Linked DNA regions of Struthio camelus. The protein of the gene in region 2 purifies or fractionates together with the protein of the main gene of each other region. This does not show direct contact. Links are inferred from orthologs where the notes say so. Each region holds a gene or a part of one and is shown on either strand. Other genes may lie near its edges.

What was found. Proteins that work in one complex are often made in the same cells at the same time.
Region 1: the proteins of DCAF13 (region 2) and FBL purify together in Homo sapiens (affinity purification with western blotting; 3 studies listed by BioGRID, with this or other methods). This does not show direct contact. The link is inferred for Struthio camelus from reciprocal best matches to the Homo sapiens genes DCAF13 and FBL.

Annotation. Positions count from the first base shown.
Region 1 is NC_090974.1:161,377-171,298, reverse strand, and holds the start of FBL (rRNA 2'-O-methyltransferase fibrillarin), read left to right. Parts: upstream 1-5,414; 5' UTR 5,415-5,465; coding exon 5,466-5,475; intron 5,476-6,718; coding exon 6,719-6,793; intron 6,794-8,114; coding exon 8,115-8,273; intron 8,274-8,771; coding exon 8,772-8,866; intron 8,867-9,922. Other genes in the region: COX6B1 (cytochrome c oxidase subunit 6B1), read right to left, coding at 2,129-2,234.
Region 2 is NC_090943.1:145,208,048-145,217,668, reverse strand, and holds the start of DCAF13 (DDB1- and CUL4-associated factor 13), read left to right. Parts: upstream 1-5,068; 5' UTR 5,069-5,187; coding exon 5,188-5,257; intron 5,258-7,380; coding exon 7,381-7,580; intron 7,581-9,402; coding exon 9,403-9,510; intron 9,511-9,621. Other genes in the region: SLC25A32 (solute carrier family 25 member 32), read right to left, coding at 157-242, 1,402-1,552, 4,762-4,927. UniProt on the Homo sapiens protein: Part of the small subunit (SSU) processome, first precursor of the small eukaryotic ribosomal subunit.

The DNA.
Region 1 (9,922 bases), on a different chromosome or scaffold from region 2:
CGTCCGGGGGGCCCAGGCGTCCGGGGAGAGACACTTCGGCTTCCGGGAGCCCCTCTAACCCCCCTCCCAAAGGGGCCCAGGCGTCCGGGGGGCCCAGGCGTCCGGGGAGAGACACCTCGGCTTCCAGGAGCCCCTCAAACCCCCCTGCCAAAGGGGCCCAGGCGTCCGGGGAGAGACACCTCGGCTTCCAGGAGCCCCTCTAACCCCCCTCCCAAAGGGGCCCAGGCGTCCGGGGGGCCCAGGCGTCCGGGGAGAGACACCTCGGCTTCCGGGAGCCCCTCTAACGCCCCTCCCAAAGGGGCCCAGGCGTCCGGGGGGCCCAGGCGTCCAGGGAGAGACACCTCGGCTTCCAGGAGCCCCTCAAACCCCCCTCCCAAAGGGGCCCAGGCGTCCGGGGAGAGACACCTCGGCTTCCGGGAGCCCCTCTAACCCCCCTCCCAAAGGGGCCCAGGCGTCCGGGGGGCCCAGGCGTCCAGGGAGAGACACCTCGGCTTCCAGGAGCCCCTCAAACCCCCCTCCCAAAGGGGCCCAGGCGTCCGGGGAGAGACACCTCGGCTTCCGGGAGCCCCTCTAACCCCCCTCCACAAGGGGCCCAGGCGTCCGGGGGGCCCAGGCGTCCGGGGAGAGACACCCCGGCTTCTGGGAGCCCCTCTAACCCCCCTCCACAAGGGGCCCAGGCGTCCGGGGAGACACCCCGGCTTCTGGGAGCCCCTCTAACCCCCCTCCACAAGGGGCCCAGGCATCCGGGGGGGCCCAGGCGTCCGGGGAGAGACACCCCGGCTTCTGGGAGCCCCTCTAACCCCCCTCCCAAAGGGGGCCCAGGCGTCCGGGGAGAGACACCTCGGCTTCCGGGAGCCCCTCTAACCCCCCTCCACAAGGGGCCCAGGCGTCCGGGGGGCCCAGGCGTCCGGGGAGAGACACCCCGGCTTCTGGGAGCCCCTCTAACCCCCCTCCCAAAGGGGGCCCAGGCGTCCGGGGAGAGACACCTCGGCTTCCGGGAGCCCCTCTAACCCCCCTCCCAAAGGGGCCCAGGCGTCCGGGGGGCCCAGGCGTCCGGGGAGAGACACCCCGGCTTCCGGGAGCCCCTCTAACCCCCCTCCACAAGGGGCCCAGGCGTCCGGGGAGAGACACCTCGGCTTCCGGGAGCCCCTCTAACCCCCCTCCCAAAGGGGCCCAGGCGTCCGGGGGGCCCAGGCGTCCGGGGAGAGACACCCCGGCTTCTGGGAGCCCCTCTAACCCCCCTCCCAAAGGGGCCCAGGCGTCCGGGGGGCCCAGGCGTCCGGGGAGAGACACCCCAGTTTCCGGGAGCCCCTCTAACCCCCCTCCCAAAGGGGCCCAGGCGTCCGGGGGGCCCAGGCGTCCGGGGAGAGACACCCCAGTTTCCGGGAGCCCCTCTAACCCCCCTCCCAAAGGGGCCCAGGCGTCCGGGGAGAGACACCTCGGCTTCCGGGAGCCCCTCTAACCCCCCTCCCAAAGGGGCCCAGGCGTCCGGGGGGCCCAGGCGTCCGGGGAGAGACACCTCGGCTTCCAGGAGCCCCTCTAACCCCCCTCCCAAAGGGGCCCAGGCGTCCGGGGGGCCCAGGCGTCCGGGGAGAGACACCTCGGCTTCCGGGAGCCCCTCTAACCCCTCTCCCAAAGGGGCCCAGGCGTCTGGGGGGCCCAGGCGTCCGGGGAGAGACACCTCGGCTTCCAGGAGCCCCTCAAACCCCCCTCCCAAAGGGGCCCAGGCGTCCGGGGAGAGACACCTCGGCTTCCAGGAGCCCCTCAAACCCCCCTCCCAAAGGGGGCCCAGGCGTCCGGGGAGAGACACCTCGGCTTCTGGGAGCCCCTCTAACCCCCCTCCCAAAGGGGCCCAGGCGTCCGGGGGGCCCAGGCGTCCGGGGAGAGACACCTCGGCTTCCAGGAGCCCCTCAAACCCCCCTCCCAAAGGGGCCCAGGCGTCCGGGGCGAAAGGGGGGCCCAGGCGTCCCTACCCACCTAGTTCCGACAGCTGGTTTCGAACCGCTTCCGGGTGCGGAAGCGGCGCCCGCGGAGCCTCCCCCATCCCCAGCGGGGCCCCGGCGTCCGGGCCTCCTGCCCCCCGCCCCCGGAAGGGGCCCAGGCGTCCGAGGGGCCCAGGCGTCCCTACCCACGTAGTTCTGCCAGCAGTTCCTGGTCTGGTTCTGGTTGGGGAAGCGGCTGTCGAACGGCGCCGTCCGGTAGCGCTGCAGCTTGGCCTCGATGTCGTCCGCCATCGCTGCGGGGGGGGGGGGGGGGAACGAGAGCTCGTTAGCGGGGGGTTCGTTAGCGGAGGGGGGTCGTTAGCCGGGGGGGGGCCTTAGCAAGGGGAGCTCGTTAGCGGGGTTCGTTAACGGGGCTTGCAAGCGGCGGCGGGGGGCGTTAGTGGGGTGTGTTAGCAGAGAGGCGGGAGCGGGGTTCGTTATCGGGGGGGACTCGTTAACGGGGTTCGTTAGCAAGGAGATGCCAGCAGGATTCATTAGCGGGGCTCGTTATTGGGGGGCTCATTAACAAGGTTCGTTAGCAAGGAGATGCTAACAGGATTCATTAGCGGGGCTCGTTATTGGGGGGCTCATTAACAAGGTTCGTTAGCAAGGAGATGCTAACAGGATTCATTAGTGGGGCTCGTTATTGGGAGGCTCATTAACAGGGTTCGTTAGCAACGAGATGCTAACAGGGTTCGTTAGTGGGGCTCGTTATTGGGGGGCTCATTAACAGGGTTCGTTAGCAAGGATGATAGCTTCTTATTAGGGTTCGTTAACAAGGGGCATTAGCAGTGGAGGTGCTATCAGGATTCATTAGCAGGGGGTTCATTAGTGGGGGGGCTCGTTAGCAGGTAGTTTATTAGTCGGGGGGGGGCTAATTAGCAACGTTCATTAACTAGGAGGCTCATTAATGGGGTTCGTTAGCAAATAGGTGTTACGGGGCGATTTGTTAGAGGGAGTTCTTGGGGGGGGTCGTTAGCAGGGCTCATTAACAGCGATCGTTAGTGAGGTTTGTTAGCAGGGGGCTCATTAACAGGGTTCATTAGTGGGGGGTTCGCTAAGGGGGGTCGTTAATGGGGTTCGTTAGCGGAGCATGCTAGCAAGCTTCATTCACAGGGGTCGTTAGGAGGCTCGTTAGCAGGGGGGCGCTCGTTAGGGCTGGAGCTAACGGGGGCTCCCCGAAACGCTGCAGGGCTGGAGCTGGGCAGGGAGAGATCCCAGTGCGCCCAGTGCCCTCCCAGTAAGCCTGGGTTCCCCCTCCCCAGTGCTCCCAGTAAGCCTGAGTCACTCCTCCCAGTAAGCCTGGGTTCCTCCTTTCCCAGTCCTCCCAGTAAGCCTGAATCACTGCTCCCAGTAAGACTAAGTCCCCCCCTTCCCAGTGCTCCCAGTAAGCCTGAGTCATTCCTCCCAGTGCTCCCAGTAAGCCTAGGTCCCCCCCTTCCCAGTAAGCCTGAGTCACTCCTCCCAGTAAGCCTGGGTTCCCCCCTCCCCAGTGCTCCCAGTAAGCCTGGGTCCCCCCCTTCCCAGTGCTCCCAGTAAGCCTGGGTTCCCCCCTCCCCAGTGCTCCCAGTAAGCCTGAGTCACTCCTCCCAGTAAGCCTGAGTCACTCCTCCCAGTAAGCCTGAGTCACTCCTCCCAGTAAGCCTGAGTCACTCCTCCCAGTAACACCGAGTCTCCCCCTCCCAGCACTCCCAGTTAGCTGCCCCCCCTTTCCCAGTGCCCCCCCAGTGCTCCCAGTAACCTCACTCCCGCCATTTCCCAGTGCTCCCAGTTCCCCCCCCCCACCGGCCTCCCAGTCCCGCCCTTTCCCAGTGCTCCCAGTAGCCCCGGATCCCCCCGCTTCCCAGCGCTCCCAGCACCCCCCCCGAGCCCTCCCAGTGCTCCCAGTTCCCTCCCAGTGCCCCCCGCCCCCCTCACCGAGTCGCGCCGCTCCCTCAAAGTGACTTTCACCGCCGCCGCCCTCGCACCGGAACCAGCGAGACGTCGCGAAAGCGCAGAGCGGCGCCGGAAGTGGCGCGGTCCCCCCCCACTCTAGCGGCCCTCAAGGGGCGGGGCCACAGAGATGAGGCGGCTAGAGAGGCGGCCGGGCAGGGAGGGGGAGCGGCGAGGAGGACCGCGGCGGCCATAGAGAAGAGGCGGGAGGACAGAGCGGCGCCGGCCGCCGGGGGGGAAGTGGGCGCCGAGAGGGGCCCTAAAAGCCCCCTCCCCCGGGGACCCCCAAATCCCCCATTCCTACCCCAAAACTCCTTCCAGTACCCCCCAGACCCCCCAAATCCCCCATTTCTGTCCCAAAACACCTCCCAAGACCCCCCAGAACCCCCCAGATCCCCCATTTCTGTCCCAAAATACCTCCTAGGACCCCCCCAGAACCCCCAAATCCCCCACTCCTGCCCCAAAATACCTCTCAGAACCCCCAAATCCCCCTTTTCTGCCCCAAAACACCTCCCAGGACCCCCCAGAACCCCCATTTCTGCCCCAAAACACCTCCCAGGACCCCCTAGGACCCCCAAATCCCCCAATCTTGCCCCAAAATACCTCCTAGGAACCCCCAGAACCTCCATTGGTGCCCAAAACCACATCCTAGATCCCCCCAGAACCCCCCAAATCCCCCTTTTCTGCCCCAAAATACCTCCCAGGACCCCCCAGATCCCCCATTTCTGCCCCAAAACACCTCCCAGGACCCCCCAGAACCCCCATTTCTGCCCCAAAATACCCCCCAGGACCCCCAAATCCCCCATTTCTGCCCCAAAACACCTCCCAGGACCCCCCAGAACCCCCATTTCTGCCCCAGAATACCCCCCAGGACCCCCAAATCCCCCATTTCTGCCCAAAAATACCTCCCAGGACCCCCCAGAACCCCCCAGATCCCCCATTTCTGCCCCAAAACACCTCCCAGGACCCCCCAGAACCCCCATTTCTGCCCCAAAATACCCCCCAGGACCCCCAAATCCCCCATTTCTGCCCCAAAACACCTCCCAGGACCCCCAAATCCCCCATTTCTGCCCCAAAAAACATTCCTAGGATCCCTCAGAACCCCCCAAATCCCCCTTTTCTGCCCCAAAATACCCCCCAGGACCCCCAAATCCCCCATTTCTGCCCCAAAACACCTCCCAGGATCCCCCAGAACTCCCCAAATCCCCCATTTCTGCCCCAAAATACCTCCCAGGACCCCCCAGAAGCACCAAATCCCCCATTTCTGCCCCAGAATACCTCCCAGGACCCCCAAACCCCCCATTTCTGCCCCAAAATACCCCCCAGAGCCACCAACCTCTCCCCCCCCCCCCGTGCCCCCTCCCTCTTTGGGAGCGGTGTGGGCACTTCCGCCCGGCCCCGCGCGGCGTCGGAGGGGGCCGCGGCGCATGCGCGGGACTCCGGAACGGAGGGGGGCGGTGGAGCCGCGCCGTGACGTCAGCGCCGCGCAGGCGCTTCCGGTTCCGGGGCCCCGAGAGCGGCGCGTGCGACCCCGCGTGGAGCAGCGGCGGGATGCGGCCAGGTGGGGGGGGGGGGGAACTGGGAGGGACTGGGGCGACTGGGAGGGACTGGGAGGCACTGAGGGGCATTTAGGAGGGGCTGGGGGCGACTGAGAGGGCCTGGAAGGGACTGAGAGGGCAACTGGGAGGCAACTGGGGAGGACTGGGGGCAACTGGGAGGGAGCAGGGGGCACTGGGAGGGACTGGGAGGGCTCGGAAGCAACTGGGAGGGGGATGGGGAGCCCTGGGAGGGAACTGGGAGACATTGGGAGGGAACTGGGGGGTATTGGGAGGGACTGGGAGAGACTGGGGGCAACTGGGAGAGACTGAGGGCAACTGGGAGAGATTAGGCGGGACAAGGAGGCAACTGGGGGGAGTGGGGGCAACTGGGAGGGAGCTGGGGGCACTGAGAGGGACTGGGAGGGCTCGGAAGCAACTGGGAGGGGGATGGGGAGCCCTGGGAGGGAACTGGGAGACATTGGGAGGGAACTGGGGGGGTACTGGGAGGGACTGGGGATATTGGGAGACCCTAGGATGAGGCTAGAGAGCACTGGGAGGGACTGGGAGAGACTGGGGGCTTTGGGAGAGACTGGGAGGGAGCTGGGGGGGACAGGGAGGCAACTGGGAGGGAGCTGGGGGTACTGGGAGAGACTGGGAGGGAGACCCTAGGATGGGGCTAGAGGACACTGGGAGAGACTGGTGGTGTTGGGAGAGGCTGGAAAGGACTGGTGGGCACTGGGAGGGAACTTGGGGGGGTACTGGAAGGTGCTAGGAGGGAACTAGGGGACACTGGGAGGGGCTGGGGGACACTGGGGGGCACTGGGAGAGGACTGGGGGACTTTGGGAGATGCTGGGAGGGACAGGGAGGCAACTGGGGGACACTGGGAGGAAACTGGGGGGGGGAACTGGGAGAGGTGGGAATGGACTGGGAGATGCTAGGGGGGCTAAGGGGACATTTGAGGGCCTGGGGGCTACTGGGCATACTGGGAGGGACTGGAAGCGATTGGGGGTACTGGGGGGGGGGAATACTGGGAGACAGAAGGAGACTGGGAAGGAAATTAGAGCAACTGGGAGGGAACTGGGCAGACTGGGAGCAAACTGGAGGTGATTGGGGATGCTGGGGGGGGATGCTGGGAGACAGGAGGGGACCGGGAGGGATATAAAGAGACTGGGGGGGAACTGGGCAGACTGGGAGGGAACTGGGGCGGCCTCTGCCTGCTGCCCAGTGCTCCCAGTTGGCCCAGTTTGAGCGCCCGTCTCCGACAGGGTTCAGCCCCCGGGGGGGCCGCGGCGGCGGCTTCGGGGACCGCGGGGGACGCGGCGGCTTCCGGGGGGGCCGAGGTGAGTGTCGCCCCCTCCCAGTACCACCAGTGCTCCCAGTATGACCGGCGCTGCCGGCCCTGGGGACGCCAGAGCCGGGCACGAAGCTCCCCGCACTGTCCCAGTCCGCCCAGTGGGGCTCGGGGCCCCGTCCCAGTCCACCCAGTAGCTGCCCAGTTCCTCTCTGCGTTCATCCCAGTCTGCCCAGTAGCTTTCCCACCCTGTCCCAGTCCGCCCAGCAGCTCCCTTGTCCCCTCCTAGTGCTGCTCCATCCCACCCCAGTCTACCCAGTAGCTCCCCAGTCCCATTCCCAATCTGCCCAGTTCCTCTCTGCTCTCAGTCCAGTCTGCCCAGTAGCTCTCCTGCCCTGTCCCAATCTGCCCAGTAGCTCCCCAGTCCCATTCCCAGTCTGCCCAGTTCCTCTCTGCGTTCATCCTAGTCTGCCCAGTAGCTCTCCTGCCCTGTCCCAGTCTGCCCAGTAGCTCACCGGTCCCATTCCCAGTCTGCCCAGTTGGGCACTAGTTCCATCCCAGTCTGCCTACTTTCTGCTTCTTGCTGTCCCAGTCTGCCCAGTTGCTCCCCCGTCCCTTCCCAGTCTGCTCAGTCACTTCCCCATCCTTTCCCAGTCTGCCCAGTCATTCCCCGGTCCACTCCCAGTCTGCCCAATGGGGCTCCCCCACCCCTTCCCAGTGCACCCAGGAGCTCCACCGCCCCCTCCCAGTCCGCCCAGTTGCTCCCCCATCCCCTCCCAGTTGCTTTCCCATCGTTTCCCAGTCCGCCCAGTGGCTCCCCCATCAGCTCCCAGTCACTCCGCCGTCCCCTCCCAGCCGCTTTCCTGACCCTTCCCAGTCTTCCCAGTCCTCTTGGTCGCTTTCCCGTCCCTTCCCAGTCCACCCAGTGACTTCCCTGTCTCCCTCTCAGTCTTCCCAGTCCGCCCAGTCGCTCCCTCTCCCCTTCCCAGTCCGCCCAGTCGCTCCCTCTCCCCTTCCCAGTCCGCCCAGTCGCTCCCTCTCCCCTTCCCAGTCCGCCCAGTCGCTCCCTCTCCCCTTCCCAGTCCGCCCAGTCGCTCCCTCTCCCCTTCCCAGTCCGCCCAGTCGCTCCCTCTCCCCTTCCCAGTCCGCCCAGTCGCTCCCTCTCCCCTTCCCAGTCCGCCCAGTCGCTCCCTCTCCCCTTCCCAGTCCGCCCAGTGGCTTCCCCATCCCTTCCCAGTCCGCCCAGTCGCTCTCTCTCCCCTTCCCAGTCCACCCAGTGGCTTCCCTATCCCTTCCCAGTCCTCCCAGTCGCTCCCCAGTCCCCGTCCTCGTTAGGGGCCTCGTCAGCGCCGCTGGCCTTGGCCCCGCAGGTGGCGGGTTCAAGTCCCCCGGTGGGGGCGGCCGCGGCGGTTTCGGCGGTGGCCGAGGAAGAGGAGGGCCCGGCCGGGGGGGCCGCGGCGGCGGCCGGGGGGGTCGCGGTGGCTTCAAGGGCGGCAAGAAGGTGACGGTGGAGCCCCATCGGCACGAAGGTACCGGGGGCCCAGGCGTCCGGGCGGGCAGCAGCACGTTTGGGGGAAAAGGGGGCGGTTTGGGGAGGACGGGGGTGGTTTTGGGGGGCGCCGTGGGGCGGTTGGGGGGGCGCCGTGGGGCAGTTGGGGGGGATGGAGGCGGTTGGGGGGGACGGGGGTATTTAGGGGGTGCCGTGGGGCGGTTGGGGGGGGGACGGGGGTGGTTGGGGGGGTGATGGGGACAGTTTAGGGGAGGACGGGGGTATTTAGGGGGCACCATGGGGCAGTTGAGGGGGATGGGGGTGGTTGAGGGGGTGCCGTGGGGCAGTTGGGGGGGACGGGGGTGGTTGAGGGGGTGATGGGGACAGTTTAGGGGAGGACGGGGGTATTTAGGGGGCACCATGGGGCAGTTGGGGATGGATGGGGGTGGTTTAGGTGGTGCCGTGGGGCATTTAGGGGAGATGGGGGTAGTTGGGGGGCACTGTGGGGCAATCGCACCCCCCGGTTTTGCCCCCCCAGGGGTGTTCATCTGCCGGGGGAAGGAGGACGCCCTCGTCACCCGCAACATGGTGCCCGGCGAGTCCGTCTACGGCGAGAAGAGGATCTCCGTGGAGGTGGGGGGCAACTGGGAGGGCACTGGGGGCAACTGGGAAGCACTGGGGTAGGTGTGGGGGGAACTTGGGGGAATGAGGGGCAACTGGGAGGGACTGGGGGCAACTGGGAAGCACTGGAGTAGGTGTAGGGTGTACAGGGAAAGCCTTGGGGGGGTAACTGGGAGGGCACTGGGGGGAGCTGGGAGCAACTGGGAGGCACTTGAGGCTACCGGGAGGGCACTGGGAAGGCAGCAGAAGCAACTGAGAGGGACTGGGGGCAACTGGGAAGCACTGGGGTAGGCATAGGGGGTACTAGGAGTTCTGGGGGCGCTACTGGGAGGCACTGGGGAGAATATGGGGGAATGGGAAGGAACCTGGGGGGCAGCTGGGAGGGCACTGGAGGCAGCTGGGAAGCACTGGGGTAGGTGTAGGAGGCACTGGGAGCAACTGGGAGGAGCTTGGGGCTACCGGGAGGGTGCCGGGAGGCATTTGGAGGGCAACTGAGAGGGACTGGAGGAGGATTTGGGGGCAGGGGAGGGCACTGGGGGCAACTGGGAGGCACTGGGGGAGGACTAGAGGGCACAGGGAGGGCCTTGGAGGGAACTGGGGGGCACCTGAGAGCCACTGGGGAAGGCCTGGGGGCAACTAGGAGGGCCTGGGGGCTACTGGGAGGCACTGGGGGGAGAACTAGGAGCCATGGGGGCAACTGGATGGGCACTGGGGGCAACTGGGAGGACACTGGGGGGGACTAGGGAACACGGAAAAGGATTTGGGGGAGGACTTGGGGGCAACTGGGAGGGACTTGGGGGAAACTGGGAGCTCTGGAAGGGGTCCCTGCGGTGTCCCCTGTCCCCAGGCTGGTGACACCAAGGTTGATTACAATGCCTGGAGCTCCTCAGGCTCCAAACTGGGAGCACTGGGAGGTGGCACTGGGGGGTGTGAAGGTCCTGGGGGTGTCACCACTGGGAGTGACGCGACCTTGGGTATCACTTATCCCTAGAATGGTGACACCAAGCTGGAGTACCAGCACCTGGACCTTCTCGGACTCCAAACTGGAGGCACTGGGAGGTGGCAGTG
Region 2 (9,621 bases):
CCTAAACATCATTAATTTATTTATAGACAATATATAATTCCATTTGGACTGAAACACTTACACTTGTCACCTGTAAGAAAAAGTAGCACTGACAAAGGCAAAGCAGCATATGGACAAGCTAGAAACAAACATTAATCTTCTTTGCATTTAACTCACCAGCCTCCGCAGCTGACACGAGGTGTTCAGTTGCACTTAGACTTTCCAGCTTCCCCTCCTTTTTGTAAGCTTTGATAGCATTATAACTGGAAAATATAACATGTATTTTGGTAAAGGTAAAGAGAAACATACATCGCTAAGAAACAACCCCCACATAAAATTCACTTAAGATCAGGGAAAACATTAGGCGTCACTCAACTTCCAAAACAGATGTATAAGCAAAGTATCTTTGTTTACTTGATTAATTAATTGCTGAATAGTTAATTCTTTCAAGTGAACTGCAGTAATACAAATTTAAATTGATAAGTATTACTCTCAGTAACAGTGTGAAACAGTTACATCTTGTTTACAGTTACATCAGTTTACATCTTGAAACAGTTATCGGATCTCAAGAATTAACTTCAGAGAAACTGATTAGGTAGTCCTCCTTTTATTAAAAGGAAACAGTGACAGGCATCTATTTTGTAGCTCAGAAATACAGGGAGCTCTCTCTCTCGACCCAGTTTCCAGTCCTGCCACCTGCTTTGTGGATTGAGAAGCAGTCAATAGGAGTTCAACAACGATCTAATAGCAAAGAACTTTGTTTGAGGAACAAAGCCTAGCAAGAACAGAATCTAGACAACTGATGAGTGAGCTTTGCACAGGCACACCAAATAACCATTCTCTAAAATGTTTCAGCTAATTGGGGCCAGCAGGAAACCAGATCACAGTTACATAGCTAATAAAGTAGAAACGATCGAATATTAAAAAATTAAACAAAAACAAAAAACAGGCTTTATGAGCAAAGCACGTCCGTTCATAAAATAGGAAGAACTCACTGGCACTAAAATTATAGAAAATCAGTTAAACGTTTAGCTTCAGTAGACAACTTTTTATTCTTTAATTTTTTATAATCTTTCATAGTTTAGGTTCTTATTTTTCGTACAATTTTTCTTTTCCCACAGTTTTTCACCACTTTTAGAAGCTTCTTCAAGAACGATGTCGCAATCTCCCAAATTACTTAGTATTTTTGAAGCACCATAGGCATGCACTGTGCCTGACAAAGTAACAAGTTTCTGCCTCAAATGGCTTACGTTGTAAAACAGTGGACCATACTAAAGGGCAGCAGACTTGGACTTTCCAGAAGAATCACAAGTTTATAAGTCACTTAGCGTATTTTCATACCCCGCTTCCCCCAGAAGAAGAGGCAGCCTATATCTGAGGATTAATTACATAGGAAATGAAACATTTCACAGTTCTACTTACAAGAAAAAGTAAAGTCCCCAGGAAGCCCCAGCTCCCCACATGTTTGGAGTTACCCCTTGATACAAGCCTCGCAGTCCTTCATGCTTCCAGATAGTGGTCATACAGTGGAGAATCCCATGGTATTTTGGCCTCAGCTCCAATCCATCACTTACTATGTAACAGAGAGATTATATCGAAAAAGGTTTGAGGAAGTACGAAGTTCAGCTGTCTAAGAGCCACCATGTAAGTACGTGGCCTCCAAACAAAGCTGCAGTGAATGTGGAAACCTAACCGATTAGCTATATTTTAAAGGTATGCACGAGTTGAGGTTTAGAGCTTCAAGAGGAGCCTACGGTTAAAGAACTTAAAAAAAAAAAACAAAAAAACCAAAACCCCCAGAACTCAGCTCTGCAAGAGAAAGCCCCTATAAATCTGACAAAATTAATACATATTTTTGGTGAACAGTAGCTTTGACCTAAAGTTTTCTGCCTTTTCTTTTTAACACTCCAGCAACTTCATGTTGTATTTTGAGTGATACTTGTGGGGTCTTCAGCAACACACTTCCATAAGGAGTTTGACTAAGCACTAAATAGCAACTCTTAAATTAAATCTTCTTCTTTTAAACGTTCTAGGAATATCCTTAACAAGCCATGTCTTAGTGACTCAAAGTGTTTTTACCAGAACACTCAAAGGTTATTCCACCATAAATTCTTGTTTCTCCTTCTATACTCACTGAATGGACGTGTAGGAAAACACACTTTTTAAACATGCACACTTCTGCTCAATAACTGAGCAGCTCTTTGTCAAAACATTCAGAAAACGTGACTGTTAACAAGACGAAACGTGTCAGTTTTGTTAGAGATGTTTTATTTAGAACACAGGTGCTGCTCATGCAGCTTAAAACATTAACTACTATTGCTCCTACAGCAAGACGGTAATATGGTTACCTACAGCATGTGCAGTACAGCGCATGGCGAGAAGACAAGAGGCAACAGACACGCATTAGAACACAAGAAATTGTGACTAGACCTAACGAATAACTTTTTGCTCCAGGAACGTCATCAAATATTGGAGCTGGTCACCCTTGGAGGCATCTCTGGAGCAACTTAAAACTCAGCTGGACAAGAACCTGAGCAATGTGATCTAAGTAGACCTGCTATGAGCGGGGGTTGAACTCCACAGCTCCCCTCCAAACTGAAATATTCTACTACACTAATAACTGATCAGGAGCTTTCATTACTAGTATAGGCATAAGGCTAGACTGCAATTTTACTGAGAATGTCAAAGTTTTATACTCAGTAAAGCTCTTGTGTCCTCATCAAGATCAGTTCTGGCAGGCAAAAATTTCAGATATTTCTGTTTAATACTCTATTCATTATTCATTCTCCGTTGAACTTTGTGTACAATACTGCGTCGTGACAGACTCCAGCACTAAAGACAAAATGCTTTTTCTGGGCATATTTTAACAAAGCACCAACATCTTGCTAACCACTCAAAACTAGAACACCAACTGAACTCCTTTCTCATTCTTCCTGAGTTAGCACCATCGGTCCTTTCCCACATTTTTACCACCCTGCTATTAAATCTGGTTTAGAAAGACACCAAAAAAGGGGGAAATCAAAGATTTCAATGTAACTCTGTCTGGTATGATGCTGCTGAGAATCTCCGTGGTGTTCATTTCTGATCTCAGCCGTTACTTCCTGGTCGAAGACAAAGCATGGGAAATGTTATTTTCAACCCAAACAAGCACATGAAATTATCCCTGTCATTCCCCCTATACAGTCTGACCAAAAAGCTATCTGAAGATAAGGCAGAATAAGTTTAATATTGGAATATTAGTAAATAACTTAGGGATAGTACAAAAACTATCCCTGGGATAGCCACCAGGAACGGAAAGGACCGTTAACCACAACTTACATGGGGCTGGGAAGAAGTGCCTAAATGACATTTAAACTCAAAAGATACCAGCATGTTACTCCCTTCCATGACAAAAGATACATTTGCCGGGTATTAAAAAACAACACACAAGCTATTCTGTTAAAAGACAGAGTTCAGATCTCAGTGATTCAGAAGAGACTTTGGTAGAAAACCTACGAGCCTTGGACGAGTCCAACCAAAACTTGATTAGAATCAAGAACTAAAGTGAAACAATCATATGGAATCAGAATAATTTAGGTTGGAAGAGACCTCCAGACGTCATCTAATACAACCCTCTGCTCAAAACAGGCCTATTTAGATAGGTTGCTTGGGGACATGTCCAGTCAACTGTTGAGTATCTCCAACTTCTTCCAGCATGTGATCACCCTCACGGTAAAAATGTTGTTTTCCTAATATCTAATTGGAATTTCCCCTGTTACAACTTGTGTCTGTTGCCTCTTGTCCTATTGCTGAGCACTGCCAAGAAAAATCCAACTTCTCAGTAGCCTCCCTCTGATCAGGTACAGCAAAATGTCTGCACTTAGCTGTCTCCTTCTAAAGCGTGAACTGAACCAGTTCTCTCAGCCTCTCCTTGTACGTCATATGTTACAGCTCCCTGACCAGCTTGGCGGCCTCTTCTGGGCCAAGTCCAGTATGTCAATGTCTTTCTTGTACTGGGGAACCCAAGATTGGACCTAGTACTTCAGATGTGGTCTCACAAGTGCCAAAGAGAGAAGGATCACTTCTGCTAGTTATACTCTTAATAGACCAGAGTGTGCCCTCAAGACACACAAGAAAGTGTTTAAATCCCTGTTTTGGATTGATCTGATCACATAACGGAGCCTACAAGTAACAGCACATTTTGTAGTCTCTGGGAACAACACAAAAACCTACCTCGAGAAAGGAGAGGAGGGAACCATCTCTTTTGGCCTACTGCCCGATTATTCTCAGCTGCACGGCTACTCTGCGAAAGCCTGTCATTATGCAACTACGCATAGACTTTGACCGACAAAAATTTGCAGCCACCGAAATCTTATCTGGCTGTACTCCCCTTTTCCTACCTCTCCAAAGAGAGTTTGTGGGTCACTGGCTCAGAAACATCAAGTGCAACGGGATTAGTAAATCTTAAGCACAACGTACGGTTTGCATTTGCAGCCGACAGCATTAAGGGCTAGCTCTGAGAAGAGCTCAGGCTTTTGCATGACGGCACACTCCACCTCCCCCAGCAGACGCCTTGGCCCCACACAGGCACGCTGCGACCTCGGCCTGCAGATCGGAGGCCTAAGAGCCGCAGCAGCTCCCGGCCGCGGGCACCGCGGCCTTCCAGAGCCTCCCGGCCGCGGGCGCCCCCGCTCGGCCGCGCAAGGCCCCGGCCCGCCTCACCGGGGCGGACGGCGGCGCAGCCTCCCAGAGGGAAACTGGGGGCGGGGGGCGGGGGGCGGGGAAGGGGCGGCCCGGCCTCACCTGCGAAGCGGATCTTAACCAGGTCTAGCGGGTGCAGCACCAGGGTGGAGATGACGCCGCCGCTCAGCCCCGCCGCCAGGTTCTCCAGCCGCACGTGGCGGAAGAGGGAGCGCACGGGCGGCGCGGCCGGCGCCCCCACGGCGCACGCGGGGCCCTGCGCGCCCATCGCCCACGGCTGACGGCGCGCGCGGCGCCCAACGGCTGCAGTGCGCGGGCAGGGGGCGAGGCGCCCCCTCCCCCGCCGCGGACCGAGGGCCGGACCTGCTCCGCCCGCGCGCGTCTCGCGAGAGTCCGGCGGGAACCTGCCGCCCGGCGCATGCGCTCAAGTGAGAGGCGGCCACCTCCTCCTCCCCCCCCCCCCCCCCGGCCCGGCGGAGCGGAAGCGGCAGGGGAGCGTGTGCGTGTGCGTGTGCAGCGGCCGGGAGGATGCGGGTCAAAGTGCTGAGCCGGAACCCCGATGATTATGTCCGCGAGACCAAACTGGACCTGCAGCGCGGTGAGGAGGGCTGGGCCCACATGCCGTCCGCACGGGCACGGCAGCGCCGAGGGCAGCGGGCGGGAAGGGCCTCGAGCACCCGCCGGCCGCACGCCGCTGGTCGGCTGCCCCCGCGGGCAAGGTTCCCAGCCAGCGGTGCGCCGCGGTCGCCGTGCGGAGGCCCCCGAGAGCTTTAGCTTTCCTTTTCCTCGCCCGCCGCCGGGCTTGGCTGAGGAGGCGCTAACGGTGGCTCGGCGTGCGCGGAGTGGGGGGGTGGGGGGCGCTCTGCGCATGCGCCCGGTGCGGGGCGTGTCTGCGGCGCCCGTTGAGCGTTCGTTACAGGGGTTGGAGGGGAGCTGTGGCCGCGCAACGCCCCGCTTCGGTCGTCTCGGAAGCTGTGAGTCTGGAAGTTAAAGAGCGGCGTTAATGTTCGCCTCTGAAATGCTTAAGTGACTTCCCTGCCGTCTGCCGGCAAGCTCTGCGTTCATTTCTCTCAAACGGGGTTTGAAGGGAGTTAACCATCTGTGAAGAAAAAGGGTTGTGATTCTGTTACCTGAACTGAAATGGGGCTTCACAAGATACGTCTAAAAGCGCAGTGAAAGTTGGGACTGCAGATTTTCGGTTTTTTAGTCCCCGCTCTGCTACTCACTCTTAGCAGTCTTTTACATGTATTAATGTTTCAGGCACAGTAGCTCTCCCCCTGCTTTTTGTATTATGGCATATCTCTTACGGAAACTGGCAAAATCTTGCAGACTGTAGTTGTTAGTTTTAGATGCAGCAACTCTGGCCTGGTAGATGAGATGATGGCTTTCCACGCTCTGTTCTACTGATATTCTGTCAGAGCTGATTTTACACAGGCTCGCAGTTTCATCTCTATGAACGATAGAAATGGGATTTGATTTCTACTTAGTGTAAAAATAGTTCAGGAGAAAGGTTTGTAAAGTTAGAGCACGTGTAAAGTTCTGGATTTCTTGGCATCGCTAAATCAAATAGTATTTTGAGCAGAAGAGACCTGTAGTATTTGAAATTGCATATACTATGAATTGATTTGATTGAATTAGAGGTAGGCAACTATGTTGTTTGTGAAGTAGCACTATAACCGGTGCTGTTCAGTCCTGGAGATATTCAGAAGCCGTCTCGACAGTGTCCTGGGCAGCCTGCCCTAGGTGACCCTGTTTGAGCAGGACGGTTGCACTAGGTGATCTGCAGAGGTCCCTTCCAACCTCAACCATTCTGTGAACTATGCGTTTTCTCGTTGTTTAATTGTGGTTATGCACTTAAACCATGAACGAGATGATTAAATCTACTTATTAGAACAATAGCTGAGGTGTGGTTTGTGTGTAGGTTTTTAAATCAAATTCTTTATCATATAATGGAATGGTATACAACCATTTCCTCAGAGGTTTTATTTTTAGGGGTTTTAATATGCAAAAAATATTCTTTGAAAATCAGTAGACTGAAATAAGCATTGAATCTTGATGAGTGATCTAACTGTTGTCAGTAGAACAACTGACAACGCTTTTTGTATAAAACACAATGTCGGTTCCTACTGTCTTTCTCAATTTATCTTTAGGCGTGGGTACACAAATGGATGCAGAGAGACCCTTGCTCCAAGCTTATTGGATATAAACCATCCCTGTCAGCGAAAGGAGATAGCACCAGCAAAGTACCAAGCGACTGTGTCTCATTTCTGAGCCAGAGCTGCTTTGCAGCTGCCTGAAGAGGAACAGAGCTAGGTTGCAGCTCCCTGTGCCTGTCAGTTTAGGCACATCCTTTCTGCGTTTACTGGAATTTGGTGGCAGGAGGTGTTTTTTGTTTTGTTTTTTAATATCCATTTCAAGAAGGGCAAAATATCTGTAATTTTCAGTTTGCTGCGTGCATTCGTTAGTTTAGCAGTATACTCTTAAAAAGGGTGTCGAGTAACTTTAAAGTTATTTCAGACTTCATTAGCTTAAACATTGCCAAGTGAGCATACTAATCCCCATAGATCAATTTCAAAACAGTAAGTATGGCATAAATCTTAGTGTTGCAGTAAATTCTTCGACAGCTAGGAAAATCAAACAGAAAAGCATCTGAATGCACCTTACCTTGAGTTATATACAGTACATATAACAGATTTGTAATGACTGTTACTCTTATTGCAGTTCCAAGAAATTATGATCCCATATTGCATCCTTTTGAGGTTCCACGGGAGTACACAAGAGCTCTGAATGCAACAAAGCTAGAACGTGTTTTTGCAAAACCCTTTCTTAGCTCGCTTGATGGCCATAGAGATGGAGTTAATTGCATGGCCAAACACCCAAAGAGTTTGTCTACAGTGCTTTCTGGAGCTTGTGATGGAGAGGTAAGCTGCAGTTACAAACCACGACAAACAAGGTCACTTTCTTCCCCTCTCTTTTTTTTTTTTTAATGCCCTCTTTTTATCTGTCTTTGTGTCTTTGTTCGGCTATCATACCGTAACTTCACTCAGAAGGGGCATCCTATCCAGTTTGGGACAGTGTTTCTCAAACTGCAGGTTGTGACCTGCCGGCATGGGATGAATGTCAAAAAGGTTTAGGAAGCAGTTCTCAGCTATACAGTTCCTCTAAGTTAAAGAGTGAGAAGGGGCTGTCATAGCTGCGGGTAAGTGCTTACACAAATCTAGAAACTTCTGGTAAGCTGTGAGTTGGAGGTAACATTCAGTTTCTTGACATAGAGCAATGAGTGTTAAAACTTGCGATCCCTATGGCTTTTTGCGTCCTTTCCCCCCCCCCCCCCCACTGCCCTTTGAAGTTGAACTGCTACAGATTCAGAAGATTACATAAAGTCAGATGAGCTAGGGGGGAGGGACACACTTTCAAAAACTTTGTGGAATAATAATTTCACTTCTTCCCTAAAAATGATAACCGTGTATCTGTGTGATATTTTAGATAATTATTACGAATAGCAAGCAAGGGTACTTTTTGTGGGCTTTACTTCATGAAGGGCTACGAAAATGATTAGGGGGCTGGAGCATCTCTCCTATGAAGAAAGGCTGAGAGAGCTGGGCCTGTTGAGCCTGGAGAAGAGAAGACTGAGAGGGGATCTCATCAATGTACAAGTATCTGAAGGGGGGGTGTCGAGAAGATGAGGCCAGTCTCTTCCCTGTGGTGCCCAGCGACAGGACAAGTGGGCAGAAACTGTGCAGTGGGCACAAATTGAAACACAGGCAGTTCCATCTGAACATGAGGAAAAACTTCTTGACTGCGAGGGTGACTGAGCCCTGGCACGGGTTGCCCAGAGGGGTTGTGGAGTCTCCTTTGCTGGAGATACTCAAAAGCCGCCTGGACGTGACCCTGGGCAATGGGCTCTAGAGGACCCTGCTTGAGCAGGGGGGTTGGACTAGATGATCTCCAGAGGTCCCTTCCAACCTTGGCCGTTCTGTGATGTGGAGGCAATTGCAGAAGAAAACCATTTATCTTCTCTGCCCTCCCTCACCCTTATGTTGTTGTACATTTGATAGTAATTGTATATTTTAAATGTGTCTTCTGGGTATCCGCTTACTTTCCAGGATTTATAGAACATACATTCATCATACAGCAGCGTAAGGGAGATTAACCTCTTAAAACAGGAGGAAAATGAATTTTGGGGTCATGGGAATAAGTGTATATGAAAGGTGGTTGAGATTTCTTATCCGCTGACAGAGCAGTAACAGTACTTACAAATGTGAAAACTGAGCTCCTCCATTTCTTTAATTTAAATGGCTCCAAATATTTTGGAGCAGAAATCCCTGTGAGGGGTAGACATACATTTAGGTTATAATACAGCAGCTGAAGTTGAAAACGTTGCATTGGTTGCAAAAGTTATTTTCTTGTGCCTTTTTCTTTAAGGGATGTCATTGCTAAAATTAACACTGCTGCTGTCTTCTAATAAGAATTCCAGATCAAAAATAAGGGAATGCAAAAATAATGTAAGTGTATAGTTTGGGGGAGGAAGGAGTAAAAAGCAAAGAGCTATATGTTTTTTGTTTGTTTGTTTATTTCAAGGAGATAATTAAGTGGTTTTAACATAAATCTGGCTAGTGTTCAAGCCAGCTGTGCCATTTTGTTATAATGTGTGTGCTCTCTTCTGCTTGAATTATGAACTGTAATTGTGGGCTGTAGAAAACTGAATTAAATAACAACAGAATACTTTTCCGTTTTTAACAGGTTAAAATTTGGAACTTGACCAAACGACAGTGTATTCGTACTTTACAAGCCCATGAAGGCTTTGTGCGAGGGATGTGTGCTCGTTTCTGTGGAACCTCGTTCTTTACTGTAAGTATAATATGTCTCCTTAGTACGCTCTAACAATACAGATCAGCTGTTGACCAGCTATTTTCTAGCAAGCAACTTACTGTAATCTCTCCTGTAGAATATTTAAATTTC